Linked DNA regions of Elephas maximus indicus. Each later gene encodes a partner of the first gene's protein in a complex. Links are inferred from orthologs where the notes say so. Each region holds a gene or a part of one and is shown on either strand. Other genes may lie near its edges. The genes, in order: MAPK10 and SH3BP5.

Evidence for each region.
Region 2: the proteins of MAPK10 (region 1) and SH3BP5 are in contact, whole or in part, in a crystal structure (PDB 4H3B), measured with the Homo sapiens proteins. The link is inferred for Elephas maximus indicus from reciprocal best matches to the Homo sapiens genes MAPK10 and SH3BP5. Residues at the interface, in NP_620448.1 of Homo sapiens: Lys121, Asp150, Ala151, Gln155, Val156, Met159, Leu161, Glu164, Arg165, Tyr168, Tyr171, Val197, Lys198, Ser199, Asp200, Cys201, Trp362, Asp364, Glu367; in NP_004835.2 of Homo sapiens: Val341, Val342, Arg343, Pro344, Gly345, Ser346, Leu347, Asp348, Leu349, Pro350.

Annotation. Positions count from the first base shown.
Region 1 is NC_064823.1:69,247,961-69,263,706, reverse strand, and holds the start of MAPK10 (mitogen-activated protein kinase 10), read right to left. Parts: upstream 7,260-15,746; 5' UTR 6,905-7,259; intron 1,422-6,904; 5' UTR 1,307-1,421; intron 1-1,306. UniProt on the Homo sapiens protein: Serine/threonine-protein kinase involved in various processes such as neuronal proliferation, differentiation, migration and programmed cell death.
Region 2 is NC_064845.1:36,057,393-36,073,495, reverse strand, and holds the start of SH3BP5 (SH3 domain-binding protein 5), read left to right. Parts: upstream 1-8,336; 5' UTR 8,337-8,577; coding exon 8,578-8,718; intron 8,719-10,639; coding exon 10,640-10,702; intron 10,703-16,103. UniProt on the Homo sapiens protein: Functions as a guanine nucleotide exchange factor (GEF) with specificity for RAB11A and RAB25. Inhibits the auto- and transphosphorylation activity of BTK. Plays a negative regulatory role in BTK-related cytoplasmic signaling in B-cells.

The DNA.
Region 1 (15,746 bases):
GGCTGGTTATTGGCAATTACATATGATTTACCCTTCATAATAAACACTCATTGAATACATTTTAATTAAGCACAGCATAGTGGTGATTGATATCTGCTTTCTCAATGTAATTGTAGGCAGACTGTAATAACCATGATACGAAATAACCGTAGAATTAATTTCAGTAGTCTTCAGCAATTAAAGGCTAGGCACTAATTCACAGGCAGGGCTTCGAACCACTTCATTTCAGTTTGAACCGCTGCTGAGAATTTGCATTTCCACCCCACGGAGACTGAATCAGAATCTACAGTTTAACAAGATCCCCAGGTGATTCTCACGTCTAATAAATTTTGAGAACCACCCCTCTCCTAGCAGCTCTCAGAACTGGTCCCTAACCAGCAGCTTCAGTATCAGCTGGGAACTTGTTAGAAATGCAGGTTCTCACCGGGGGTTCTGACTGGACCTAACAATTCGATGCCCTGCTCACAGGGCAACCCACCTACGCAGAGTTATATAAACCACTATATGAAATGAAATGAAAGAGATATATTGATCACCAGTTCAAAACAGCTTCATTTGGAGTCTTACAAGCACTCCTGTCATACCTTATTTCTCAAAGATGTTATTTAACAGATTATAACACATTCGTCTCTGCTGGAGTCTATTGATTATTGACTTCGATCTCTATGAAGCATCAAGAATTTGATTAAAAAAGATATTTTGTCTGTGTGTACTGATGTTTTCATAAAATAATAAGACGTTTTCAAAATTTTCCCAACAAAGGAAAGCAACTGGATCTATTTTTAATATTGTTTTGATTAAGCAAAAGAATTGGTAGACTAAAATGTCTATAAGTTGACCTTTATAAAACTGTGATGTGATTTCTTTTCCCTTATTTCTGAAGATTTAACTGTTAACTAATACACATAACACACGTACACTATTCTGAAAGGAATTAAGCATCATAATTTTACCCTGAGCCGATTTTCCTACTAGAGGACTAAATCAATAGAACACAGAATTATGTTACACATAATAAAAGCCACTTAAAAATACTGTTACTTAGTCACATGAAATTATTACTTAGTCATCTTACGTCTTACACAGGCTGGGATCACCTATGGCATCATACAACCCATCTGCGCATCTCAAGACCCCACAGTGCACCATCAATTAAACATCCTGTCCTACTGATTTTCACGTTCTTAGCTGACTTTTTTGAAATACTATTTCTTCAGGTCCATACCCTAAACCCAATGCAATATTAAAATCAGATACATAGATCATATATTTCTCACTAAGGAACATTTTTAAATTTGCAACTCACCACTGCTTGTATGGTTTCTCATCTACAGGAAATGGTTCTAATTCAACAGTTTCTTGCATGAGTTGCCATAACGAAGACTGGAGATGGTCCTGCTGTTGATGTTTCTCACACTAGCCTAAAACCAAAGTCAAAAGACAAGTGAGTTTGGTTTTAAATGAGAATTTCACCAGCATTTAGAAAACAAAAAGACATAAATCAAAGAAAACTGATGACAAAGGGGGGACGGGGTAAAACATCCTCAAAGTAGTTAATTCTGCTCGAAATTCATCACATGCACAAGAACTTTCCTGCTAACGCCAAAGCAGCTATTTTAAAATCTGAGCATAAACCCATTAGTAATTGTTATTTTGCTTGATATATTTGGTTTTATGATATAAAGCACCCCACCCTACTTCAACCGGGGCAGCACCACTATCACATATGTTTATGTACATATGTTTACATATTTTCCTTTTCATATAAAATTTCATTAGAACAATGACGATAAAAGGAAGAACAGAAGTTTGAAAACCTCTGAAGTCTGTGAAATAAAGTAAAACAATACTGAAGTTGAACTGAGGCTAGAAAGGGACCTGTATTTATTGTCTTCCTTAGTAGAACCTAGTTCCAAACCTGCTTTTCAACCTTTATCACCTGTTACTTCCCCGCATCACATTGGCCTGATTCTCCGGGGCTATGCCAGTTTCCAACGTTCCAATTCTATTGTAAAACCATAAATTCTAATTTCTGGCTTGGAAAGTACAGTCACCATACCCATGTTAAACCTCCAGTCTACTGCAAATATGAGTCTAGTTCCCGGGCAGGTACTTAAAACTGCTGCTAGGCATACCTTCGCCACCACCCTCCAGCCCCAGTCATCCCAATGTCGCCTCTATCATTTCCATGGAGGTGAATTTTCTTCTCTGACTTTCTATTGCACTTACTGCCAAACCACTAATATGATTCCTTAATCATATGCCATCTTTATTGTTATTTCAGTTTTTGTGTTATATCTTATCTCTCCAAATGACTGTAAGTTCCCCATTGTAGCACCTCTGGGTTACACTTTCCCAACTGCTTTCCCGCAGCACTTAACAAAGAACAATGTACAGAGGAGACATTCATTCAACTAATACTTACTGTGTCCCTAATATGTGACGGATGGAGTCCCTGGTAGTGCAAATGGGTACCAGCTTCTAACAGAAAGATTGGCGGTTTGAACCCACCACAGAAGAAAAACTAGAAGATCTGCTTCTAAAAAGTCATAGCCACAAAAACCCTACGGAAGGTAGTTCTACTCTGAAACACATGGGGTCACCATGAGTCACAACCGACTCCGTGGCAACTGGTTTGGTTTTGGTTCACTGTGTGCCAGACAGACACAGTCAGTCCCCAACAGAGATTCCAGCTTAGTGGAGGATACTAGTCCAGTTGCCATCCAGTTAAGTCTGAGACCCACGTGTCAGAGCAGGACTGTGCTTCACAGGGTTTTCAATGGCTGAATTTTCAGAAGTAGAATGCCAGGCCTTTCTTTTGAGGCATCTCTGGGTGGGCTCGAACCCCATTAACTATTTGTATCACCAAGTGACTCCAGCAAAAGACAGATAACTGAATAGGCAATTACTGTGATGTGTGCTAAGTGCTGTGGTGGAGAAAGTACAGACACTGATTAAACATTACCACGTAAACAGACGTAAGAGCCTGACCTCACTATCAATACTTTGATATCCTATTTTCAATGTAAAAGAAGGGGGCTATTACTTTAAAAAAAAAAAAAAAAAAAACCCATTGCCATCAAGTGGATTCCGACTCATAGGGACCCTATAGGACAGAGTAGAACTGCCCCATAGGGTTTCCAAGGAGCAGTTGGTTGATTTGAACTGCTGACCTTTTGGTTAGCAGCCATAGCTCTGATCCACTATGCTACCAAGGCTCCCATTTTCAGGAGGTACAGAGAACACCCAGGCAGGTTAACATCTACAAACCAGGAAGCAGTTTTACTTCTATAAAGACAAGTCACTAAGATGACCTTCTAATACTTTTAAGACATTGCTGTTGTTTTCTGCTTCTCGCCACAAAAATGTGGCAAAAATATCGTTTATTACGAAGTAGCCCACTCTGCAAATGCCTAAGTGCTCCGTAGAGGAGTTCTGTCTTAATCGGACACAGCACACCGGGCTTTAGAGCAGCTGTGGTTAGGGATGCTTCCGAGAAGCCGGAAGTCACTCTTTTTCCATTCAAACCTTTAATTCCCATTCCCAGGAACACTATCTCTATAATCGCATGATTTTTACATCTCACAGTCACCAGGGATAAGAACAGGGAGAAGTATTGTAGTGACTTGTTACGAATCCAAAACATCAATTAAACTACAAAATTCTTTACCAAAAATAAGTATAATTTTCAAGCCTACTTTTCAAACCTAAAATGCTTCTATTTAGGGATCGTTAATATCACCTGGGGTTTCCACTTAGCAGAGTCCCTACCAATATTCACAATAAGAACGGAAGCTTCCCACCACTAAATACAGAAAACAAAAAGTACCCCAAACATACAGATTTTTCATTTTCCCCTTCTTTGCCTTGATTTGTTTGAAAGATTAAATTTACTTGAACTGAAAAATCTGAGTCCAAAACCTTACAACTTTGCTATGAAAATATGTACAGATAGGTGAATTTCTGAAAACATGGGCTCCAATTTTAAATTGCATTTTCTCTTTCAAACAATCAATATGCAACATGATCTTTTATCTGAATCAGCACTATAGTGTCTCATCTCAGACTTATGTAATACAATAAATACATCTAATATGCTAAAGGATTATGTTCTCCTTTACAAATAACACTTTCTCTCCCAATAGTCTACAGGCTCAACTTTTTCCACGAGTCCTTGGTACCAGGTGTAATAGATGCATGTGTGGTGGAAAGAGAGGGGAGGCCTTCAGTAAGCCTGCAGCAAGCACAGCATCTTACTCCATTCCTGTCATTGCTGGACACTTTTGTGCCTGTCTTTTGCCTAAGGGCTGCAACGTCCAACCAAAAGCTTAAAAGAGAAGACAAGAGAAAATAGTAGGGGAAACTGAGGGAGAATTTTAAATGTCAATTTGTTTACTTCTTCTTCTAATTGAAGGAAGTATCTCTTGGTTTGAGTCCATTATTCTGATAAGCACCCAAGCAATCATTCGATTTGAATACACCAATTCTGCTAAAAGTCCTTTAGATACAAACAGAACCTAAAGCCAGGACTAAAGCAGGAAGGGAAGCATCTGCAAGCACGTTTAAACAACAAACAAAAAACCTATTTGTCTTTATCTTTTATCATCAGTAGAAAAAGGCTTTGTAACTAAGCTTAATATTCAAAGAAACACATGAAGCCAAAGTAAAACTTAAAAAAAAAGAAATATATATATATATGCCTTTAAACATGGTAGTCTTTTTCAATTTATTTAGGTTAAGCAGATTGCTTTTGCTTATAATGTTCTTATAGGATATACTGACAAGGGAAATTCTATGAATTTTTCTGTCAATATAAAACATATATACATATTATAGTATCCTTGATCAACTCTCAGTTCATTCTAACCTTGAAAAACATCGGCCATGTACTACGAAATCATTAAACACTAATAGCTACAGACGTACCAGACAATGACAGCGAAAACACACTCGGTCCCTCTGGGATCTATTCATAAACATCCCTTTCCAGCATGGCAAACACACTCCTCCCAACAGCAGATGCCGTTGTGGGGCGAGCAAGCAGGAAGCTGGAGGCAGCTGATTTTTCCACTCTACATGTAATTTCTTACTGCCTCATCACCAGGAATCTTTTTACAGAAACTGCGGAGATTTTTGTAAGCTCAGGAGCCCGTCACATTAAAGGTACTTTGCTACAACAGAAGGGAGTGATATGCAAATAAGGAAGCATACAGATTCTTTAATATCTAAGGTGATACTACCTTTGTCAACTGATTTTCTAGCCCTATGGTAGGGAAAAGAAAAACCAGCTTGCTCCATGTGATACAATAAACTAATCCCATACTTGCTGTCAATTTTAGGAGTAAGATCAAGGTAGAGAGGGGAATACATAACAGAAGCAGCAAACCTGCTATAGCCCTGAACTGTACAGCCCCTAAAATCCAATGGTTCCAAAGCGAATTGGAAGCTTGTGAGCTCCTTTGTGAGCATCACGATATTGACATATAAGCTCACCCACCTAAGGCAGAAAATTTGCAGAAGCTTCTCTCAGGAGAATAGTCATTCCTGCAACCATTTTAAATGTGTTATCAGCATTCTAGGAGACTTTCCTGGATCCAGCAACCAGCAGATTAGGGATGGAGGCAGAAATTGGACCTTGAACTAGCAATGTGTGATACATTTATACCCATTTTCCTTCTATCTGTATTTACACTCATTTTCCTGCCCCATATGACTTAGCCTGCCTCTTCCCAGTGCGTTCATGAAAGTTATAGTCAGCACGCAGATGCGGGCAGGTCTGCTGTAAGACACTGCGAGGCTCTGCAGCAAAGACGGTCCATGTAAACAACCTTGTGACTGCTTCAGAGAAGATTGCGTGGGATAAGCCATTCTTTCCTGTGGCTAAATTTCAGTGCCCTGGGAAGTTTTTTCCTTTAAGGGGGTGAAAGCAGTGACTGACCCTTGATTTAACTGTAGGAATGAAAAGAAAGAAAGAAATATATATGTACATACATGTTTTAAATATCTGATTTACTTGAAGATTCCCCTGTAAGTCACACTTTTCTTGCTGTGTGCACAGATTCTGATATATTGCCCTGCTCATTTTTAACAGTATATCTTTTTTTTTTTTTTTTACTTTGCAAAAGGAGCTCTGACATTTCTAAGGGACACAGTATCCCAGCATAGAATACCTGGGAACCTTGCCATTAAATTAAAAAAAAAAAAAAATGGTGCCTGCTGTGACTAGCGGATCACTTTCTTAAAGGGACCCTTTACCTATGTGACTGCGGTGACAATTTTTCTTCTTAACTCTAATCTGATCCCTCTTCTGTGTTCTCTCCCCAGCCCAAATTTAGCCTAGAGTCTCTTTGCAAGAGTAATGCCGTTAGTTTTGCAGCTAAAAATATATAAATATCATTCCCTACTAAAATGTGTAAATATGTCCCATAATTTTTTTTATTTAAGTTTATTTATTTAAGTTACACATCTCAGGAAATAAAATAAATGCATACTTAAGGGCATTAATTTTAATTTCCTATGGAACCCATATCATTTCTCAGAAACGGGACTGAGGTCAGCACTTCTAACAAGCACAGATGCATTCGCTCTCTCTCTGTCTCTCCTTCTGTAGCTCTGCATTGGTCTAAAACCGCTGGTCACAATAAGAATGCTCCCTCCCACCCTCTGCCACCCCTCACTCCAAACAGAGAGGTTGCAACACGCCCAAGCCTGGAGAAAGATGCTCCGCACTGTGGCAAAGGCTGGTGGCTTCTTGCCTCGGCGGTAGTTCACTTCATTAACCTGCTTTCCACCCCATCTCCCCCCTCCCACCACTCGCTCTCCTGCTCCACCAGGAGCCATCAATAGCCATCACCCCACCCTCCAGAAACAGTTTAGAACCCGGAATGAGCAAAGAGCCACCTACCATTCCGTGCCTGAGAACTACGATCCTGATCCGGCAGTGTTTGCCCCCAAAATCCTCCCTACTTGACTTTCATTAACCACATTCCAAACTGCAATTAGGAAGAGAGTCTTTGGAGGTGGGGAGATTGCTTAAAATTAATGATGGATAGGTAATTTACAAGAAAATTCAATCTTAAAGTCACTCAAAGCCCCTAGAAATTGAGGGGTGAGGAAGAAAAAGGAAAACTGTAAAAACGTAAAAAGAAAAGAAAAAGGTAAGCATATAACAAGCACCATCCACCCCCATAAAAACAAAAAGAGAAAGGGAGGCTTTAAAGAAGAAGAGTGCCTTGCTGAATCACCCTCTTTCACTGCCTGGAAACCATTGTGCAGCGTGATGCTGCCTGTACCATTGTGAAACCTACCAGAGGAGACCGACAGAGGGCTTGGGGAATGGGGTTGCTATGGCAACTAAAAGGAGCACACATGACGTCAAAGCCCAGCGAGGTCTAGGGAGGGGAAGAAGGGGAAAATGGAAAGAGGAAAAAGTCTCCGTGTGGCTACAGATACTGTGTTTTCTGGTGAAACGAGGAGCAGGCAAAATGTGAAGGAATAGAGCTCGTGGGCAGCCAATGTCAGCAAGGCAACTACGATATCACGGATCCAGTTTGCACAACCCGGGAAAATAATCCCCTCTGTGTCGTTCTGGCCGTTTGCACAGCGGTACTGAGGAATAAATACAGGCAAACCAAAACACCCCTGGAAATGCGTTCAACCTGTTTTTCAACTATCTCAGCTATTTACAAACCGCACGGAGAGACATAGGCTATGTCTAAATGTCAAGACAAGCAAAAGACTGTAATAACCTCAAAGGAGAAGTGAGCGTTTGAGTCCTTCCTGCACCCCGGAGGTCATTTGCACAGCTCTATTCCTCTTCTCTGTTTCCTTGTTTTACATAAAATTCCTGAATACCCGCTAAATCAAAGCTCAACAAACTAATTCTCAGATTGCAATTTGGACGTAAAAAGAAAATATTGATAATTTTAGTTAACAAATTGGGGTTCTTTTTAATTTTTTAATTGCGGATAATTCTCTGGAAAACTGATGCAAGTTCCATTATTACTATTTGAGGGTAATATCTCAATTTTATTTAATGAATTTGCCCTGTTTTTTGGTTGTTAGAGGATTTCTTTAAAATACCCATGCAGTTTTAATATCCACAAATAATAGCTTCTTGGAATAAAAGCGGTGACTACTTTCCCTATTTAAACAAAAAATGAGTTTATCAAATTTTTCTGACTTTTTTAAAAATATTTTTTACACAATGAAAATTTTCAATGCATATTTTTGTCACTATATTCTGTTGTCCTTAATGATTGTGAATTATCAAAATTACACATTTTTGAAAGTGAATTAAAAGTATCAAATAATTTTAATTTTTCTATTGAGTCATTTGGCAAAAAATATTTATAAAACCAAATCCACCCTGACTATAACTCTTAGAAGAGTTAAAACCATGAAATGGATAATGTAATGTCCCAAAGGTTGCATTTACAAAGGAAAGGAAAGCTTCTTGCTTGGAGAACAAGAAATATTCCTGAACAACTTCAGAGCTGGGAACAGAGTACACGCATCTCATTAAATCTATAAACCAGTGCAAAAAAAAAAAAAAAAAAACAGTGCAAGGGGATACTAAATACAGCCCCATACTTTTGAAAGTAAGAGGTTACTTTTATTTATTCATTTAAAACTCTTCTTTCAAAGACTTATCATTGATAATATTTATAGAACTCTGGCCAGGCTTCTAGACTAAATAAGTTTTATTGGAAAACACTTCGAAAAAAGTTTGAGGCAGTTAAGGTGTTTTACACCCCAACACAAAGTTCAGGTATGTAATATCATAAGAGAAGTTACCTGCTTTAATATTGGCTATCTCAAAGTTTAACATGTCATAATATTTCAGAAATTAAAAAGCTTTGTTGATAGCTAGTAAAAAAGAGTTGTATAACCTCGGTAATTACAATTAACCATAAATATTTACTGGTCACCTACCAACTATAAGGAGCCCTGGTAGCACAGTGATTAAGAGCTTGGCTGGTAACCAAAAGTTTGGTAGTTCGAATCCACCAGCCACTCTTTGGAAATCCTATGGGTCAGCTCTACTCCATCCACAGGGTCAGTATGAGTCAGAATTGGCAATGGGGTTACCATGTGAAAGACTATACACTATGCTCCTGGAAGAGGGAACTGTCAAGGAAGACAATGAGAAATAAAAAGGCTAAGGAACAGACTGATATGAAATAGTATATATTCATATTCATAAGGTCATAATAACATAAATACAGCATAAGCCCATTGCCTTCCAGGTGATAGTGACCCTATTGGACACAGTAGAACTGTCCCACGGGGTTTCGAAGGAGCGGCTGGTGGATTCGAACTGCTGACCTTTTGGTTAGCAGCCAAGTTCTTAACCACTGTGCCACCAGGGCTCCTAAATACAGTATGGTAAATGCCAAATGAAAGGAAGCAGATACTCTTGTGGGAGTTTGTACAGTGAGTGCAACTACCTGTGCATGAGCACAGTGCTTGGCAAACACAGTAATCCTACTCAGTAACTGTTCTTTTTCTTTTATTTCTAATTTAAAAAATACATATTTTTCTTTTGATCTCTCAGACATATTCAGTTGGACTGAAAATGGCTATAGAGAAGATGATTAGGGTCATCTTACCAAGGGTCTTAAATAAGGAGTTTGGTTTTATCCAATAGTGAATTACAACAGTTTAGGTAATTTAAATAAATAAATAAATGGCGTGTGTTACATGACCAAATTTTAAGAAATTAATTTTCCTACAGCATGTAGAATAGACCTAAAATACTATTTTAATCATCTAAATATTACTGAAATGAGAATTAAAGCCCTAAATAGTAAAACCCACTCCAAAATCTGTAAGCAAGGTTGGCGCCTATCTCTCTTTGTAACTAATGTCATCATGATTTTAACTATTCACAGTTGGCATTCTACTTTCTCCTTTTCTGTAACAGAATATTTTCCTTTACAGAACTACCCTGGTCCCACTGGTGGAACTGCCTATCGTTAAGGATAGCCCATCCCTCTGTTTAAGGGTTAGCTAAATAAACATGAGGGGGTGGGGAAACTAGACTAAACAACCAGACTTGAAATAATGAAAATATTCACACATTGTGAAGAATGTACCCAATGTCACTGAAAAATTTGCGTAGAAATTGTTAAGTGGGAACCTAAACTGCTCTTCAAACCTTCACCAAAAACACAACAAAATATTATTTAAAAGTAAATAAATAAATAGCAAAAAAGAAATAGCTACCTAACCAAGCAAAGAGCCCTCCCTAGTGGCCCAACAGTTAAGGGCTTGGTTTCTAACTAAGGTTGGTGATTCAAACCCACCCCACAGCTCTGTGGGAGAAACACCTGGTGATCTGCTTGCAGAAAGACTACAACCAAGAAAACCCTATAGGTGGTTCTTATCTACCACATGGAATTAGAATTGACTTGACAGCATCTAACAACACATAACCAAGTAGAGTCAATCAGAATCTTTGTAGGGGGTGGTGGGGAAGGACTGCAATATGGGCACTGGGAGAAAGAGATGTTCTGTTTACAACATTGCTAACTGTAAGATAGAACAATTTTAAAGCTTTTGGAGACTATCTTTGCCACCATACTGAGAGAACCCACCCAAGGATGAAATAAATCCAAACAAAAATAATGAGTCAAGAAAAAAAGGGACAGAATATTGACACCGTTTTTTGAATTTCTGATTCTCACCTTGCCTAAAGCCAGTCCCAACCCTTGCATTTCTCAGGTTACATAATCTAATCCAATTCATTTTTTGCTTAAACATCTTTGAGGGGGGTTTCTGCCTATTGCAATCAAGTATTCCTGATTAATATACCATTCTATATTAGGTTTGGAACTACCATGCTTGTGAGAATAAGTAGCTTCTTCCAAATGAAGGAACTTCTTTCACACAGAAAAGATGCAACACAACACGTGTAAACTAAGCAGCCATTACGACACTGAAACACATCGTAAAACTGCATGGGACCATGTAAGGCTTTGTTATTGCTGTTGTTGCTATTTTTTGTTTGTTTGTTTTCAGGAAGAAATCAAGTAAAAGAAAGACCTGGGTGAGTTTTCTCTAAGTCTAGTTCATTGGACAAGTTTTTTGGATGTCTCGTTGTTCTCGTTTCAAATTCTATAAGAATTAGTTGATTAATCTTAGTCTTGATAGTGGGACTACATACAGAGACAACTATGTCTCATGCAGGAATATGCATGATTTGCCAAACAACTTTATAACACAGTGTAGTTGGCATTCTGGTCTTTAAGTTATTTTATTCTAAGTGTGGATATCAAAAGTCAATTCCCAATACCTAGATACCAGTGATGAAAAAATGAACTTTAACTCTTACCGCACATTGTAAACACAAAAATTAATTCAAGATGAATTGTACAACTAAACATAAAAGGTAAAATCTATAAAGCTATTAGAATAAAATTAGAAGAAATATATAAAATAAATTAGGAGAAATAACATCTTTCTGACCTTAGAGAAGGCAGTTTTATTAAGATACAAACAGTACTCACCATAACAGGAAAAAAAAAAAAAAAAGCTTCATCAAAATTAAAAACTTCCACTTATCCAAAGACACCATTAAGAAAATGAATTGGCAAGCCAGAGACTAGAAGAAAGTACTCTTGATACACATATCTGAGAAAAGACTTCAGTCTAGAGTATATACCAATCTCCTGTAACTCGATAATAATAAAAAACAGCATTTTTAAAATAGGTGAAAGACTTAATAGAGAGATGTATAACTGATCAATAAGCATATGAAAAAGTATTCAACATCATTAGTCGTCAGAAGAATGCAAATTATAACCACAATGAAATATCACTTAATACCCACCAAAATGGCTAAAACAAAGGACTGAGAACACCAACTAATGGCAAGGATATTCAGCAACCAGAACTCTCCTGCATTAGTGGTGGAAGTGAAAAATGAAAACAGTACTTTGGGGAATGGTTTTGCAGTTTTTATAAATGATAAACATACAACTACAATACTAAAAAAAAAAAAAAAAACCCAGTGCCGTCAAGTCGATTCAGACTCATAGCTACCTATAGGACAGAGTAGAACTGCTCCATAGAGTTTCCAAGGAGCGCCTGGTGGATCTGAACTGCCGACCCATTGGTTAGGAGCTGTAGCACTTAACCACCACATCACTAGGGTTTTATGACTCAACAATTCTACTCATAGGTATTCACCCAAGAGAATAGAAACACATCCCCACAAAAAAGTGTACATAAAAAGTTTATAATGGTTTTATTTATCCTAGGCAAACACTGGAAGCAACTTGTCTATCTAAAAGAGAATGGATAAACAAATTACAAATTGTAGTATATTCCTCCAATGGAATACTATTCAATAATAAAAAAGAATGAACTGCTGAAACATGCAACAGTATAGATGAATCTCAAAAACATTATGCTGAGTAAAAAACCAGATAAAAAAAGAATATATGTATGTGTGTGTATATATATGTATGTGTGTATGAGTAAAAAAATAAATAAATAAAATATGAATCTGTATATATATATATGAATCCATATATACATAAGTCCATATATATATGAATCTGTTTATATGAATTTCTAGAGCAGACAAAATTAATATATGTGGTGATGTAATTCAGAACTATAGTTGCCTAGTGTGGGGATGAATGGTTGAGGCTGGCTTGGGGCAAGAGAAGACCTTCTGGAGTGATAAAAATGTTCCACCTCTTAATAGAGGTCTGAGTTATCCTCAAAGTGTAACTCGTAATATCAGTGCATTTTACTGTATGTTAAACAAATCTCTGTTAACTAAAAAAAAAAAAAAAGTTTTTAATCAATTACCAAGAAGAAAACTGCTGAGTGAGCCAATAAATTAGACTTCGTAAACCTGCAAATCTGGTCCATACAACGAACCTTGATTTGACAGAGCTAAGCAGATCCAGCAGTACAGAAGACCAGACTCAGGGTTGCCAGAATCTTAAAAGACCCAACAAACTCTCTGAAATGAGGCAGACAATTGATGGAGGTTTACATAACAAACAAGAGATGTAAATTCAGACATTCAAAAACAGTTATCACCAGAGAAGTGCTGTAATAACAAACTCCTGGGTTCAGCTATGTTGTTGTTAGCTGCCATTGCAACCCCAGGCACTACGGAACAAAATGCTGGCCAAGGCCTGACCTGTTCCCATGATCAGACCATTGTGATCCACAGGATTTTCATTGGCTGGTTTTTGGAAGTAGATCATCAGGTCTTTCTTCCTAGTCCATCTTAGTCTGGAAGCTCTACTACAGCCTGTCCAGTATCACTGCAGCACACTAGCCCCCAATGACAGATGGTTCGTGGCTGCCCATGAGGTGCATTGGCAGGGAATCGAAGTGGGTCTCCCACACCGGGGGCAAGCGTTCTGTCAGTGAACCACCACTGCCCTCGCTGCTTTACCTATGTTGTTGTTGTTTGTTGTTGTTAAGTGTCACCAAGTCAGTTCCAACTCATAGTGACCCTTTGAACAATAGAACAAAACACTGCCTGGTCCTGTGCTATTCCCAAAATCTTTGCTATGTTTGAGCCCATTGTTGCAGCCACTGTGTCAATCCATCTACTGAGGGCCTTCTTTCTCTCTGACCCTCTGTGTTACCAGGCATTGTGTCCTTCTCCAGGGACTAGACCCTCCTAAAAACATGTCCAAAGTATGTGAGATGTTTATTCGCCAGCCTCACTTCTAAGTAGTATTCTGGCTGTACTTTTTCCAAGACAGATTTGTTCATTCTTCTGACAGTCCATTATATATTCAACATTTTTTGCCAACATCGTAATTCAAAAAATCAATTCTTCTTTGGTCTTCCTTATTCATTGTCCAGGTTAGCATGCATATGATTCAGTGGAAAATACCATGGCTTGGGTCAGGCCCACCTTAATCCTCAAAGTGACATCTTTGCTTTTTAACACTTTAAAGAGGTCTTTTGTAGCAGATTTGCCCAATGAAATATGTCTTTTGATTTTTTTGACTGCTGCTGCCACAGGTGTTGATTGTACATTCAAGTAAAATGAAATCCTTGATAATGTGAATCTTCTCTCCATTTATCCTGATATTGCTTATTGATTCATTTGTGAGGATTTTCATTTCCTTTACGTTAAGTTGTAATCCATACTGAAGACTGTAGTCTGTGATCTTTACCAGTAAGTGTTTCTTCTTCACTTTCAGCAAGCAAGGTTGTGCCGTCTGCATATCTCAGGTTGTTAATGAGTCTTCCTCCAACCCTGATGCCATGTTCTTCTTCATATAGTCCAGCTTCTTGAACTAGTTGCTCAGCATACACATTGAATAAGTATGGTGAAAGGATACAACCCTGACACACACTTTTCCTGATTTTAAACCATGCAGTATCCCCTTGTTCTATTCTGGTGACTCCCTCTTGGTCTATGATCCTTATGAGCACAATTAACTGTCCTGAAATTCCCATTCTTCACAATGTTATCTTTAATTTGCTATGATCCACACAGTGGAACACCTTTATATAGTCAATAAAATGCAGGTAAACCTCTTTCTGATATTTTCTCCTTTCAGCCAAGATCTATCTGACATCAGCAATGATATTTCTCCTTCCACATGTTTGTCTGAATCTGGCTTGAATTACTGGCAGCCTCTTGTTGAATTATCTTCAGCAAAATTTTACTTGTGCGTGATATTAATGATACTGTTGAATAATTTCCACATTCTGTTGGATCACCTATCTTTGGAATGAGAACAAATATGGATCTTTTCCAATTGGTTGGCCGGGTAGTTGTTTTCCAAATTTCTTGTCATGGATGAGTGATTGCTTCCAACATTGCATCCCTTTGTTGAAACATCTCAATTGGTATTCCATCAACTCCTGGAGCCTTGTTTTCCCCCAGTGCCTTCAATACCATGGGCAAGTTGAACTTCTTCTTTCGATACCATGGGTTTTGATCATATTTTACCCCCTGAAATTATTGAACGTTGACTAATTCTTTTTGGTACAGTGACTCTGTGTATTCCTTTAATCTGCTTTTGATGTTTCTTGTGTCATTCAATTTTCTGCCCATTGTTGTTACTATTAGGTGCCATTGAGTCAGTTCTGGCTCATAGCGACCATTTTTAATGAAAACATTGTTGGCCTTGCAAAATTCTATCATGTGCTCTCCAGCATTTTGTCTGTCACCAAGGCCGTATTTTCCGATTATGGATCCTTCTTCTATGTTTCCAACTTCCACATTCCAATCACCAGTAATTATCAGTGAATCTTGATTGCATGTTCGATCAATTTCAGACTGCAGAAGTTGGTAAAAATCTTCAATTTCTTCATCTTTGGCCGTAGTGGTTGGTGTGTAAATTTGAATAATAGTCATATTAACTGGTCTTCCTTGTAGGCATATGGATATTACCCTATCACTGACAGCATTATACTTCAGGAGAGATCTTGAAATGTTCTTTTTGATGATGAATGCAAAGTCATTCATCTTCAAGTTGTAATTTGCGGCATAGCAGACCATGTGATTGTCGGATTCAAAATGGCCAATACCAGTGCATTTCAGCTCGCTAATGCCTAAGATATCAATCTTCAAGCATTCCATTTCATTTCTGACAATTTCCAAATTTCCTAGACTCATACATCGTACATTCCAGGTTCCAATTATTAGTGGATGTTTGCAGCTGTTTCTTCTCATTTTGAGTAGTGCCACATCAGCAAATGAAGGTCCCCAAAGCTTTACTGCATCCATGTCACTAAGGTTTGAGGAGGCA
Region 2 (16,103 bases), on another chromosome or scaffold:
GAAGATCACAGATGAGGCAACGAGAAGATGCTGATGTCACCTGGTCACGGATACAAGAACATGGTGTGAGTGCTGATTCATTCTTCGTTCAGAAGAGCAGCTTCTGTTATACAGGAATTGACAAGCAGATGTGAAATTTTCTTTCTTCTATTTTTTAAATCTTGATGTTGTAGGGACTCTTCATTTAAAGGGCATCGAAATTTGACAGAAAAAGCATTAACTTCACAATGTTGAACCGAGATGTGATATGTCCACACAATGGAGTACAACTCAGCCGTAAAGAAATACGAAGCTCTGGTACATTCTCCAACATGGATGGACCTTGAAAACATTACGCTGAGTGAAATAAGCCAGACCCTAAAGGACAAATAGTGTATGATCCCACTTACAGGAAATATTTAGAATAGGCAAATGCAAAGAGACCAAGTTTATTGGTGGTTACCAGAAGCTTCAGGGAGTAGGAAATGGGGATGTCAACTCGACGGTAATGGGTTTTTGTTTTTTTAAAAAAATCTTTACAGGAAGGAACTCTGGTGGCACATTGCTTAAGGGGTACTGATTTTCTGTTAAAGGTGACGAAAAAATCTGAAACCAGCTAGTGATGATGGTTGTACAACGTGGTGAATGGGATTAATGTCACTGAATGATACATGTAAAAATGGTTGAAATGGCAAATGTTTTGCTATATATATCCTACCACAATAAAAACACAAAACAAACAAGCCAGTAAACGAAATCACTCTGGCCCTTCCAGACAGAAAGGTGTGTCTGATTTCTGTGTTCACACAGGGGTAATTCTGCAGCGTCAAGTGATCATTTTGAGTCACCAGGACAGAAAATGCTACTCTCTTCATCCATGGGAATGGTCAGCACTATTGTCGTGGACAGAATTGTGTCCCCCCAAAATATGTGTCAACTTGGCTAGACTATGATTCCCAGCGTTGGTTATCCTCCATTTTGTGATCTGATGTAATTGTCTATGTGCTGTAAATCCTAATCTCTGCCTGTGGTTAATGAGGCAGTGTTAGGTCATGTTAAAGAGGATTAGGGTGGGACACAACGCCCTTACCAGGTAGTAGCCCTGATCTGATGTAAGAGGAGATTTCCTGGGGTGTGGCCTCTATTGCCTTTTATCTTACAAGAGATAAAAGGAGAAAGAAGAAAGTAGAAGGGACCTCCTAACACCAAGAAAGAAGAGCCAGGAGTGGGGCACATCCTTTGGACCTGGGGTCCCTGTGATGAGAAACTCCTAGACCCAGGGTTAGATTGATGATGAGGACCTTCCCCCAGAGCAGACAGAGAGAGAAAGGCTCCCCCTGAAGCTGGTGCCCTGAACTCAGACTTCTAGCCTTCAAAACTGTGAAAGAATACATTTGTTTGTTAAAGCCATCCACTGCGGTATTTCTGTTATAGCAGCACTAGATGACTAAGGCAACTATCCTTCCTGCCCAAAACTCACTGGAAGTGCTTTGAAGTCAGCAAATCTTTTTATTTTCTCTCATTTTTCCACTCCTGGGTTTTCAAGAATTTGGAGGAAATAACAAGTTGCTAGCTTCACAAAAAAGCCCAAAGAACATTTTGGACATAGTTGGAGATCTCTCTGCTCACCAGAATATAAAAAAGTAACACCCTTTGAACATAGCAGGGCTTTCTGAGTGCTTATTAAATAAATTAAAGTTTCTCTCCACACCTACAGGAATAGAAATACCCCAGTGTTTCACTTCTCCAAGGGGTACACTAAATAAGGGGAGGGTCTCTCTTTGTTGGAGACCTGCTCGTTTTGTGATTCAGGGAGGTTGAGGCCCAGATTGTAAATGTATGATATCAGTGAGAAAGTGGGGTTACAGGAGAGGTTGATTTTAATCCCATGAAAGAAAACCAGATCGTGACAAATAAGAACCCACTGTAGAGAAACAGATGAGCATAGACTCATCCTGCCAGACCCCTTTTTCTTCCTTCCACCCAAATCCCAGCCCACTGTTTCCAATGGCAACTGGGAGCAGTGCAGAGGCTATGACTCTCACCAAGGAACCATTACAACCTGACGTGGTGGGGCCGTAAACAAACACACACAATGTATTTTCCCCCAGTGTCTGGACTTGAACAAACTCCAAGGAGGCAATAAAAAGAAATCCATCAGGTAGCGCGGTCTCCAACAAAGCAGTTCTCAAGATTTTTGTGAAGATGGCAGGCATCCTATCTTCTTCCACAGCGTGCACCATGTGATCAGCCTCTGTCAAGAAAATGGTGCTTCAAGTCAATTCTGGCCCGTTACTGCGGAGCCGATTCCCGCTCACGGCGACACCATGTGTTACAGAGAAGAACTGCTCCACAGAGTTTTCTTTGTGTAATCTTTACGGAAGCAGATCGCCCAGCCTTTCTTCTTTAGAGCCGCTGGGTGGGTTCGAACAGCCAACCTTCAGGTTAGTAGCCAAGAGCAAACCATTTGTGCTACCCAGGGATGCGTTAAGCCACACCAGCAACCCATCATATAACCATGTCCTGAATCATTTACCATTGTTAAATTATATTTAAAGTCTTTTAAAATGGACGTAAATGTACTGTGCCTGAAATACTCCACCAAAGGTCAACAGGGGTCTTGAGAGGGGGATATGGATCTTTTTCATGAAGAGGGAAGTGGAACATTTAAATTCAAATATATTTAAATAAAAATTTTTTAAATCCGCACCAGAGTGTACAGTTCCTCTAAGTCTGTGGTTCTCAAACTTTTTGATGCCAAAAAACCAAACCCACGGCCATCCAGTTGATTCTGACTCATAGCAAGCCTATAGGACGAAGTGGAACTGCCCCATAGAGTTTCCAAGGAGTGCCTGGGTGAATTCAAACTGCCAACCTTTTGGTTAGCAGCAGTAGCTTTTAACCACTCTGCCACCAGGGTTTCCTTTTTGATGCCAGGACCCTTTTATACTCCTAAAAAGGACTGAGGATCTCACAGACCTTTTGTTTATGTGGTTATGTTTATAAGCAGTTACTGTACTGGAAAATTAAAACTGAGAATTAAAAAAATTTATTTACTAATTGGTATAAAGTGACAATAATAAGGAGCCCCGGTGGTGCAGTGGTTGAGCGCTTGGCTGTTAACCAAAAAGTCCCTTGAATCTACCAGCCACTCCCTGGGAGAAAGATGTAGCAGTCTTCTTCCGTAAAGATTTACCGCCTTGGAAACCCTATGGGGCAGTTCTACTCTGTCCTGTAGGGTCACTATGAGTGGAAATTGTGTCAACGGCAATGGGTTAACATAAATATTATAATTTTATGAAAAAATAACTGTAGTTTCCAAAACAATAAAAACAGTGACAAGAAGGGCATTGTTTTACATTTGCAGATCTCTTTAATGTCTGGCTTAATTAACAGAAGACAGCTGGATTCTCCTACCTATCTGCTCCTGCATGTAGCTTCTGGAAAACTTGTGAAAGAATGAAAAAGAAAAAGGCAAATATTGTCTTGGTATTATTCACTTAAAAAAAAAAAATTTTTTTTTTTTTTATGAAAGTAGCTTTGACTTGACAGATACCCTGAAAGGTCTCGGAGAACTTCAGGGGTCTCCAGTCCAAACTTTCAGAAGTACTGCTCTAGATCAATATGCCAGCTAAAATAAATATAAGCATTTACTTAATAACATGGCTTGCCTTCTTAGTATGTGTGGAGGTAGAATTAGAAGATGGCCCCAGAGTTTCCTGTCCCCTGGTTTACATACCACTGTATAATTTAGGGCATTTGTAAATACGATGCGATAGTCACTACCATGATTAGGTTATGTATATGGCATAATTAACTTTAGGAATGGGAGACTATCCTGGTGGGCCTGACCTAATCAGGTGGCCTCTTAAAATGGGACTGGGCTCTTCCTGAAATAAAAAAATAAAGAAGAGATCAAATCACAAGAGGGATTTGACACAAGCCAGGTCTTCAGTTGTTGTTTTCAAGATGGAGGGGGGCATGTGGCAAGGAATACAGAGATTGACCCCTGACAGTCAGCTAGGAAATGGGGACTTTAGTTCTATAACCGGAAACCTGGTGGTGTAGTGGTTAAGAGTTATGTCTGTTAACCAAAAGGTCGGCAGTTCAAATCCACCAGGAGCACCTTGGAAACTCTAAGGGGTGGTTCTACTCTGTCCTATAGGGTTGCTATGAGTCAGAATCAACTTGACGGCAATGGGTTTGGTTTTTTTTGGTAATCCTACAACCACAAGGAACTGCATTTGGCCAATAACCTGGATGAGCTTGAAATGGATTCTTCCCCTAGGGTATCCAGAAAAGAACACAATCTAGCTGACATCCTGATTCAATTTGTGACACCCTGAGCAGAGAACCTGGCCATACCAGGCTTGAACTTCTGACTCAGAACTCTGAGATAATAAATGAAAACCATTGCCACCGAGTCAATTATGAGTCATAGAGACCCTATAGGACAGAGTAGAACTGCCCCATAAGGTTTCCAAGGTTGTAATCTTTATGGAAGCAGACTGCCACATCTTTCTCCCACAGAGCAGCTGGTGGATTTGAACCGCTGACCGTTTAGTTAGCAGCTGAGGGCTTTAAGCACTGCACCACCAGAGCTCCTCTTGAGCCTCTAAGTTTGTGGTGATTTGTTACTCAGCAATAGAAAACAGTATGTATTATCTAAAGTTTATTTTTAAATTCATAAATAATTACAAGCACATTCTTGTAATAAATGAAAACCTTGCTTGGAAACAAAATTTGTTCTGACCTTTCAGTCCCAGCCAATCCTGGGCCGCTCCCTATGCCCGTTTCCAGGGGGAACCACGCTTGGTTTCGTATAGATCCTTCCAGACCCTTTTCTATGCATTTATGTGCATATATATGTACCACTAGAAAATACGTAGTACTGCTCATAATTTATTTGTTTTCCTTATTTCGACCTTAGAAACCCTATTAGGATTAACACGATAAACTTGCCCAGGTATCCTAAAAACAAGACAACAGAAGTCTAAACTGATGTTCCAGAGCAGTTTCCCTATGTCCCATAGAGGCATTTTGAACCATTCCATTATTCGTGGATCAGTGCTCAAACAGAAATGTATGTTGTGGGCTGTAGTTTAAAACGGTCATGATGGGATTCCTCCAGCTGGGAAGCATTTAGAGTCAGGGTTGACCCTGTATTCCTCCTTTTTACAGCTGGGATGAACCTGCTCCCTTATTGGCTCAGTTCAAAGTCGCCAGAAATATTGGGGGCCCTTGTGTCCCCAGAATAAGCTATTCCTAGTCTTCATCCAGTCATAGTGGCCATTTTCTCCTTGGCACCATTCACTGTTGCCAGGTGTTCCTGGTTCCGTGCTCTGCTTTGAGTCTTTGCTCTTTCAGGACTGCTCTTCTAGCTTCTGAACAGTGAGTAATGTTTTTGCAATAAGGAATAATGCATTTCAGGGGTACTTATCAAGAGGCTCGAACTCCTATAATTTCTTACCAGCATTCAATCCTAGGGACCTATCGTTGCTTCCAAGTGTAGCAGGTGAAGAGGTATACAGTACTCCAGGGCAGCTGTTTCTGCTTCTTAGCTGTTAGTACTGCTTTTGTTATGGTGAAGAATACATGGTAGTGATGATGTTCCTGAGGTTCATATTCCTTTAGTTTTATTTATTTGGGCTGTAAGTACTGCTTTTGCAGTAAGGAAGAATGCATCGTACCATGTTTTGACAAGTTTCATGAAAAATAATAGAAAGGCTAAGAAGAAGGAGACTAGAATAAAATGTATGTGTAGTCATTGCCAGGTGCCTTCATGTTTTTATTTCTTGAAAATTTGCAAATTTTCAAGAAATAAAAAAAAAAAGAAAAGAAAAAATTATTTTCATCACTTACTCATATCGGTAGGATTTTCTACATCCGGCATCCACTGGGACATATGGGATCCTAGACGATGGGTATCAAAATCCATAAATCATAACAAAAATTCTAAGTTGGTCCTTAAATCAGCATGCCTTCCATTAGTGAGAACACAGGGTATCAACAAAAAATTCAAAGAAGAAAATCATTGGGTCACTAAGTTAAAGAGCAATGAACAGATAAAGGTGTGTGTGTGGTGGTGAGGGGACATGAAGCTGTTACCGGAATAAGGTTCTTGCCTCTCAGTGGTCAAGAATGAGCACGTAAGGCACGTAGTTTTCCACACGAGGAAAGCTTTATTGAAGAGGCTTGCAAGCGGAGATCAGGAGGGCCTAGAGCAATGCTTACCCTCATCTCACAGAACAAAAGACAGGCCCTGAGTTTTTAAAAGTTCTTGGGCAGGAAAAGATTCATGTTTATTCATAGGCACAGGCTGGGATATGTTATCTAAGGTGTGCGCAGCAGCTTTCCAAGATGGCTCCTGTCCTGGAGGCCTCTGGGATTCATAGCAGGACTTATTATGGGGTGTCACACCTGCGTAGTCCCCCGCTGTCCGGGTTCGAGTCCCCAGCTGGGGCTGTAGCCCCTCCCTGCCTCTGGTGGAAGGCCACAAAGCGGCCACAAGTGGATGTTCTTCGCATGTCCCTGGGCCTGGTTTTCTCCAGCTGCTTCTGAAAGGCAACTTTAAAGAAGTTTGCAGGCTATTTTTAGATGCCCTGCCCCATTGTTCTGTGAAATGGCTTTGTTTCTGTGCCCTGGCCCATTTCTTGTTACTTTGTTTGCAGATTTGGGGGCCCCTCTGTTCCTTGTCTTACTGAGTCTCTAGGTTCCACACTCAACCCCCTATTACCTCCCTTATAGTCTATTTCTCTTTTACTTGTTTCTCCTCTAACCACACCAGCCTCTTTGCTATTTTTCAAACAGGTACCCTTTGATCTCAGGACCTTTGCTCCCTGTCTTAGAGCCTCCACGTGAAAATCCAATTACCTACGAAAACATTCTCCACAGAATAGCAAGGCCTTTAATGGGTTCCAACCCTATAAAGCTCCTACTACAGTGATCTTTTCAGAACAAAAAAAACCAAAACACAAAATGCCCCTCAGAAACCTGCAATGTACACCTGCACTACCTCCCTAGGAAATAGGACAACTTCCTTTGACAATGGACCATAATGCTGGCATGTAGGGTGGTGCTTTGCTCAAGGAGTAACCCCACAATTTAGCTTCTGATAAAACCGTCAGAAGTGGGTTTTCCAAGGTGGCTTTAATAATGCCGTTGTTAGCTGCTGTCAAGTTGTCCCCCAACTCTTGGTGACGCCATGTGTGTCAGGGTAGAACTATGCTCCACAGGGTTTTTCATGACTGATTTTTCAGAAGCAGATCACCAGGCCATTCTTCCTACTCCAGAAGCTCTGCCAAAACCGGTTCAGATTAATAGTAACAAGGAAGCCTCCACTGACAGGAGAGAGGTGGCTGAGCGTGAGGTCCATTGGCCAGAAATGGAACCTGGGTCTCCTGCATGAAAGGCAAGAAGTCTACCACTGAACCACACATGCCCTCAAGACTTTAATGATAGGCTCTCAGAAAGCTCTGTTCTCAAGCAGGTTTGTTCTCACAGAGCCAAGGGCCCACAAGCCTTGGTGATGAAAGTGTATACTTCCTGATCAGTGGTGTTATCCCTGGAGTGCTTTGCTAAGGTTACCTGACCCTGTAGTCCTCCAACCTCACAGTGGCCCTGACACTTCATCATGGTGTAGACATGTCCTTTTGTTAGGCCTTTGGTGATGCCGAGTTTCCCAGGCAAGTGTTGGCTCCCTACCTGTGGGTTGGGCAGGAAACCTCGCCAGTTCATAACCCCTTGGCTAGAGTATGCCCATCAACAGGTCTTACAGTTGCTGCTTCCTTGAAAAGGCCGTACCAACCTACCTGAATCCACACTCAGTGAATTCTCGCTGCTTCACGGCTATTCAGGTAGGACCATCCCGTGGGCATGTGTTTGGGCATGGAGTTCTGGCCAGGAGAGGCCACAGCCTGTGGAAAAGGAATCCATACGTGCAGCTCTGCGCGTCTAGGGTGGATGTTTCAGTTCCCATTTCTGGGGAAATCTCCAAGTAGATACAACTCACAAGGTTTAGCCGAGGGGACAGGGGCTTCAGAGAGCCTTGAAATTAATGTAGGGTCACTGAGTACGGGACTGTAAAGGTAACTTCAGAGAGTGGAAAAGTCCCCAACTTTCCTCCCATCCTAAATCTGCCTTGTCGAGGAGGGAGAAAGCTACCCAGAAAACAGGTGGCTAGCGTTAGGTAGTTCGCAATGTATTCGTGCTGCTCAGTTAAAAGGGAGCGGGGGCTGTCCCATTTCACCTCCCTTGAGGTCTTCAGGAAGCTGGGGTTTTTGTGACGGACACCTGGGTAATTGCGACTGGCCCATGAATGGTGTCAGCGCCGCGCCGAGGGGCGGCCGGGCGAGGGCGGAGCGGGCGCCGCTGTCCTAGCGGCCGCGGCAGAAAGGGGGCGCCCGGGCGCATTTCCTCCGCTCGCTCCGCCTGGGCCGGACCGACCCGCATCCGCGAGCGGCGTTCCTGGGTGTCGACCGCGGCGGCTGCCGGGACCGTGCCGGGCTTGGGCGAGCCTGCGGCGGCCGCGACCCCTCGGACGCTCCGGATCCTAAGGCGCGGCTCGCGTTCTGGCTGCGGGGCCCGCACCCTGCCTGCATGGACGCGGCGCTGAAGCGGAGTCGCTCCGAGGAGCCCGCCGAGCTCCCGCCGCCTGCCCGGGACGTGGAGGAGGAGGAGGAGGGAGAAGGCATGGAGAAGGGGCTGGAGGAGGAGGAGGAGGTGGATCCTCGGATCCAGGTAGGGCGCGCGGGGGCCCCTCGGGCCGGGTTCCGCGAGGGCTGCGGTGGAGGTCGGCGTCTACACCTACATCCCGCTCCGCAACGTCTAGCGCTGCGGTCCGGGGCGAGACGAGAGGGTCTGAATACTCGGTTTCACCGTTCCCCACTGAGGGGGCTGCAGTGCTCTTTGGATGCGGCCTGACTATATTGCGGGGACCCCTGCAGGCCCCTGGCGAGATTTGGGGGTCCCCGCAGCGTACCAGTGGTTCGGCGGATGCACAACAAAGGGAAAAAGGGGGCGGGGGCGCCATGCCGGTATCGGGGTGCTCTCAGCCAGGCTAGTGGCGCCGCAGGCATTGCACAGCCTCCCGGCTCCGGGAGGAGGGTTTGCCCGGCCCGCGAGCCTGGCGGGTGGGCGTTGCCGCCCCTGCAGCGTGGACTGGCACCGGTGTCCTGGGTCCGGCACCCCCACCTGGCCAGGGTGCCCAGCCTGAGCTGCCTTCCTCCTCCTTTGATTTATTGTAGGGAAACTGGGAGGGTTTATTGTCGCCATTGGCTCAAACCTCCGCTTGGCTTGAAATGGGTTAAAGCCCTGCTTTTTTCCTTGTTGTGGGGTCGGGTGTGAACAGAAACCAGGCACAACTGATGAGCCGAACCGACGCGTGGAGGAGGCGAGGGGGCTGGCCTGGCCTTCTGTGCTTCCATTTCCTAGACCAAAAACCAAATCCATTGCCGTCGAGTGAATTCGGACTGATAGCGATCCCATAGGACAGGGTAGAACTGCCCCATAGGGTTTCCAAGGCTGTAATCTTTAGGGGAGCCGACTGTCAACATCTTTCTCCTGCAGAGAGCCTGGTGGGTTCGAACGGCCAACCTTTCAGTTAGCAGCAGCTCAGCGAACACTGCGGCACCAAGGCTTTTTCCTAGAGGGATGATTAAAAAACAATTTTCAAGCCGAAATCTGTGTGTGACAGCTTAACCTCTTCACCCCTAAGCAAAAACACAGCAAATCTCTTTTCCAAGACCCATTTTTTTTTTTTTTTTTACCCTTTCCATAAATCATTTTTTTTATATTGCTTGTAAGCAATGCCATGCAATCTCTGGAGCCCTACCTAACTGGTTTTTCAGTGCGTAGATCAATTAAAACCTCGTTAAACTAAGTGGCTAGGGTTTAAATGAATTGTTTTTGGCAGATTAGCAAGGTAAAGATCAGGGGGAAAAAATCTTTCTATTAGGAATGATCCTATTAATTAAAATCACTGGTTTGCGTTCTTGCTAGGCGATTCTGTTAGCAATAGCCTTTGTTTGCAGAGTAAAGAGGAGTTAACTTCAGACTGGGTACTTTTTACAGATGTTGGTTGTAAATGTTTATTTGAAGGACTGGGATTAAAGCTAGTATAGAAAGAAAAAAGGCTAGGCAGGTTAAATAATTGGCAGTTTTGGAAAAAAAAAAATTTTCCTTGTAGAAAAACACTCAGCCGCTGATGAGTTAATGACAGAAGTCTTTCCTTGAGTTAAATCATTTCACTGGGCTTATATTTTTAGCATGTGCTGATTTCTTTTTTTAATTTTTTCTACAACGTTCTCCTTCTCTAAGGCAGAGGTTACTGTTTGAATTTGGTAGCTGAACCCTTTGTAATAAGGTGGGTTTACCTGGAGGCACTTACCTGGAATAAATATTTGACTATCGGAAAAGACAAATAATTCCTAGACCCTTAAGTCATTTTTAAAAGAGATACCGTCAAGATAAAGTTTTCAGAAATACAGACATTTCATTTGCTCCTCCAGCTCAAACTCATCTGTTTTCCTTGAAAATTAAAACCACCTTTTCCGTCTTCCTATGAATTGGGCTGGGGTAGTTTTTCAGGTTATGAGCTGAATTTTATTGGAAACAGAAGCCTGACCCCTCAAATCTTTTTTCTCTCTCTTTTCTTCACTAGGGAGAACTGGAGAAGTTAAATCAATCCACGGATGAGATCAACAGACGGGAGACTGAACTTGAGGTACAGAAAGCTTGAAGGGGTGGCTGTCACACTTATTCCTGGCCAGTTGGTTTTGTTTTAATATATAGCCAGCGGTTATTGTGAAGGCCCACCCCTGGGAGTTGAGCAATGGGAGTTGAGCAACAGCCTTGCTGTCTGTCAGGATGAAATACACCACTGAGCCCAACCAGTGGGCCAAACGCATGTGGATCCAATTTCGTGTGTTGTTTTTCATTATGGAAGCTCCATGGGGCCAAACCAAGGGCTGTGTGGCATATTACACATGCTTAAAACCCAGACTTAATGTGTCTGTGGAAAAGCTGAAAGGACTGAGGGGAATATTAGTTGAAGTCTTTTTAATGAATGAGCTCATGAAATCTCTTAAATATTTTAGGGTGGTTCCTTCCATTTGTACTTGGAACTGTTTGGTGTTTCCTCAGACTTACACCCTTTTTTTTTACTTTGCTGTACTAATAATTCACTCCCCATTCCTTTCCACTTCCCCGCGTGTTTCTTTTTTGTCTACTTGTGTGTAGAATATAATTATCTTAATGGTAAGGAAAAGCTGTTTAGACTGAGAAAGGCCTTCCTGCTGGGAAGAGTCTTGGGAGGCAAGCTTGATTTGCATTTCGGGAGCATTTTCCAACCTGAGTGTAAATAGATTAGCATTCTTCACAGCTACCAATTAGTCCTCACCCCTATTTACTAGTGGTTGGTTTTACCATCCATCAGCAAATTTGAACAACCTCTGTATACAGTGACACCTGTGAGAGCTGGAACTCGAACGGAATGCATTGTTTTTCCGGGTCTCACAAGTTTTCCACCTTTGACAGGGTACAAGCCTACTGCTCTTCTATCACTCTCTATTAATGGAAAATATTTGAGTTTTTCTTGTCTGACAGGTTTCCACGTTACATGGGTTCTGGCTTTCATAGGTTTTACTGTATATCTGAAAGCCCGTGTCTGTTAGAGCTATAGGCATGCAGGGAGCCGTTGGGAGGACCTGTTTCTGTAGCAGGAGAAACAGCAAGAAAGGTCAACAGGAAGGACAGAAAATGTGGCCTTGTCACCAGTCCCTGGGTGCAGGAGATAGGAATATAATCTACCAAGAATACACTGGCAGCCATGATTTCTAACTGCATGTCCAGGCCCTGGAAATACCAAATATGAATGAAATCTGGCCTGAAAAGCTTGGTGTTCTGAGCTCTGTGAAGGGTTATCCATGAAACTGGCTGCGATTCTCCCCAAAATGAAGTAAAATCATTGTGTTTGTTTACATTTTTTTTTCAGTTACGGTGAATTGAGTCTCTTTGTGATTTTGGACCATGGAAACCTCTCTGAATCTCAGATGTCTAATACACCCACTCCTCACTTATCGACATGGTTAGGTTCCAAAGATCAGGTCGTTATGTGAAAATCAACGATATGCAAAAATGGAGGATGACCACATCAGATCACAAAATGGAGGATGACTACATCATTACCTAACTGCCAAATCACATCATTACATAACTGCTAAACCACAGAGAATCATGGCCCAGCCAAGCTGACACATAACCTTAACCATCACAGCCAGCATTATTCTCCGCTGGCACCTTGGTGTTCATTACGGCCAGGTGTATGTCACTGATGTGCAAAATAGTCTGATAGATTTTTTTTTACTGTTGTCATAAATGCAAAATGTTGGATAATGAGATAGTTGATAAGTGAGGAGTAGGTGTGTATTAAACAAGCAGCAACAACAAAACCTGTGCCAACTCTATAGGGCTTTAGAGTTTACCAAGTGTTTTTTACAAGCTTTATCTTACTCCACCCTGTTCCAGCAACCTAGAGCTAGGCTGCCCAAGATGGTAGCCACTTTCTACATGTGGCTATTTGAATTTAAATTAATTAAAAGATTAAAAATTCAGTTCCTCAGTCACTATCGCCACATAACAAGAGCTCAATAGCTACTGTATTGGGCAGAGCAGAGAACACTTCCATCATTAGAGAAAGTTCTACTAAATGGCACTAACCTGGACAGGTAGGGAAGGCAGAGCCTACCTCTTCTCTAGGTGAGATCGTGAGGCTCAGTGTCTCACAGTTCAGCAGTGTGGCCAAGCCAGGTCTCCCAGCCTAGACCCATGCATTTTCCAGATGCCCTCCAGCTTTTATATTCGACCACGCCAAAGAAATAGAAAAATCAAAAAAAGCAAATCAGTTGCTGTCAGGCCAGTTCTGACTCGTGGCGACCGCCATGTGTGTCAGAGGACAACTGTGCTCCATAGGGTTTTCAGTGGCTGATTTTTCAGAAATTGATTGCCAGGTCTTTCTTCCAAGGTGCCTATGGGTTGACTCAAATTTGCAGCCTTTTGGTTAGCAGCCAAATGCATAGCCATTTGTGTCACCCAGGGATTCTCCAAATGAATAGACAAGTTGGAAATTTTTTTTTTTCCTTTGCAAAAGATCGATTTATTCATTCAGCAATTATGTGCTGGGCACTGTTCTGGGTTATGCATAAGACAGCCTACATTCTGAGGGTACAGTTGGTTCTACCGGATAAATTCTTTTTAGCCCTGATTTCCGAATTCCATTTCCAAATACTCTTAAATATTTGTGTGTCACAGGAAGCAAGCAGGGCAGGTGTTTCCTGCTGTGCCCTGAAGAGTATTTGGTAGCCCTGTGAAGCGAGGTGGTGAGGGCTGGGCCATGTTGCTGGCTGGCTTTTCATGATGTTATCATAACTAAGACTGACTAACAACAGCACTGCCCGGTAAAACTCAAGCTACATAAATAATTAAAAATTTCCTAGTAGCCATATTAAAAAGCAAAAAGAAACAGGTGAAATTAATTTTAATATATTTTACTTAGCCAAGAGTATCCAAGAGAGCATAATTTTAAACATGAAATCAATATAAAAATTTGTTAATAAGCTATTTTAGTTTTTTGTGTTTTGGGTACTAAGTCTTCAGAATCTGGTATGTATTTTATACTTAGAGCTCATCTCAGTTTGGACCGATGAGGCAGGGGACACAGGTCTCTGGACACCTGCCACATGGCCGGAGCCTGGAAGAGAGGATGCGGGGTATGTGTGTGAGTGTGTCTCTGTGTGTGTGTGTGGTCAGGGGTCTGTCCTTTAGTCAAGCACTGGCACCACCTTTGTGCTGGGCGGTCTGTTGGCCATTGGGGATTTGTCAGGGAACAAGACAAGCAAAAGCCTTGCCCTCGAGTTTACATATCAATTGGCGTCTTAGTTAACCTGGTACTGCTATAACACAAATACCACAAGTGGGCGGCTTTAAAGAACAGAAATTTATTTGATCCCAGTTCAGGAGACTGGAAGGCCGAATTCAGGGTGTGGCTCTAGGGGGAGGCCCTTCCCTGTGTATTTCAGCTTTTAGTAGCTGCCAGCAATCTTTGTCATTCCTGAGCTTGTAAATACTTCTTCTCCCTGTGTGTGTCTCTGTGTCTGTTGTTAGGTGCTGTCCAGTCGATTCTGACTCATGGCTACCCCATGTGACAGGGTAGAACTGCCCCATAGAGTTTTCTAGGCTGTAATCTTTATGGGAGCAGATTATCAAGTCTGCGTAGATTTAAACTGCCAACCTTTCGGTTACCAGCTGAGTGCTTAACTGTTGTGCCACCAGGGCTCCTTCTCTGTGCCTAGTCTGCTCTTTAACTCAGAAGTGATTTGATTTAGGACCCACCTTACTACATGTGGCCTCATTAACATAACAAAAGAAAGCCCCTGTTTCCAAAGAGGGTCATATTTATAGGCATCCCAAAACAAAACCCATTGCCCTCTGGTTGATTCCCACTCATAGCGACCCTATAGGACAGAGTAGAACTGCCCCATAAAGTTTCCAAGGAGTGGCTGGTGGATTCGAACTGCCCACCTTTGGTTAGCATCTGAGCTTTTAACCACCACGCCACCAGTGCTCCAGGGATAGGGCTTAGGGTTTTCAACATAAATTTTGGGGGCCGATGCTGTCCATTACAGCTGGGGATGAGGAGTGGAGAGGCAGAAAATAATTACTAATTGTGATGACTGCAATAAGAGTGATGTGACAGAGACTGGGAGGGGAGTCACTTCAGGTGACACTCGGGAGAGACCTGAAGATGGGGGGGTCCACGTGCAAAGAGGGCACACAGAGTGAGCAGCTTGGGGTGGTCAAGGAGAGGGGTTGAAGGATGTGGGGCTGGAAAACAGGCCATTTTAATATAAAGGTTTCCCCTACTTTTCGAAAGCAAAGTGTTCCTGTGAAACCTTTCACACGCCGAAATGGTATAAAGTGAAGCACCAATTACTATTAATTTACATGGGAAACATTTTTGAGTGTTCTCAGACCCAAAAAATAACATACCAAGTAACACATAAAACCCTCATGAGCTCTCTTAGGCTTTCTTACCTTAGGGACACATCTTGCTAATGGGTGCACAGAATAAATCAAGATAAAGCGCAGGTGCTCACACACAGTTCAAAACTACCGCAACTGTGTGACTTGATGCTGAGATGCCTCGTGTATGCAGTTCCCTGGGAGAAGCTTGGTGACCCCACTCTCACTGCTTAGGGTGCGCACTGCCTCTTTAACAGCTAGCTGCAAAACCAACGCTGATCGCTACTTCTGCTTTTTGCCTTTTTTTTTTGTAAAAGCCAAAATCCTCTTCCAATTTCGTTCGGTTATTGAAAACAGGTACTAATGTGGGGTTTTTTTTTTTTAAAGTGAACATGTATACTTTCAGAGCCTCTGGGGAGAGGGCCTTGCTGTCCATCCATTTCTTTCCCTTTGCTTTTGGGTTCTGATATGGAATGTTCAGCACCCTCTCCTGACTTTGTCCGATTCTGATTAAACTGAATTGGTGAGCAGGTTTGTGGCTCATCCACTCCTCGAATGTGGTGTCACTGTCTCTGGGCAACCACAGACAGGGTGTTCCTCCTGGTACTCACGTTCACCGTCCAGTCCTCGTCTCAGCTGTTTAGATCTGAGATGACCGAAAGACTGCTGCGTGCCGGCCACCTGCCATGTTGTCACTTGCACATCTGCCTCTTTCTGCTTGCGTCTGGCCTTGTTTGCACAGTGCCGGGGCCCCTTTAGGAGCCCTGGTGGTGCAGTGGTTAAAGCACTTGGCTGTTAACTGAAAGGTCAGCAGTTGGAACCCACCAGCTGCTCGGTGGGAGAAAGATGTGGCAGTCTGCTTCTGTAAAGATTTACAGCCTTGGAAACCCAATGGGGCAATTCTAATCTGTCCTGTAGGGTCGCTAGGAGTTGGAATTGCCTCAACGGCAGTGGGTTTGGTGGCCCCTTTGCACTCTGATGGATACTGGGGGGAGTGGGCCTCTTTAAGCTTTTCAAGGGAATAACCTTTTAACCAAAGGGCTAGCCTGGTGTTTCAAATTAAGATAATAATGTTATTTTCCCACAGACACATTGATTAATCAACT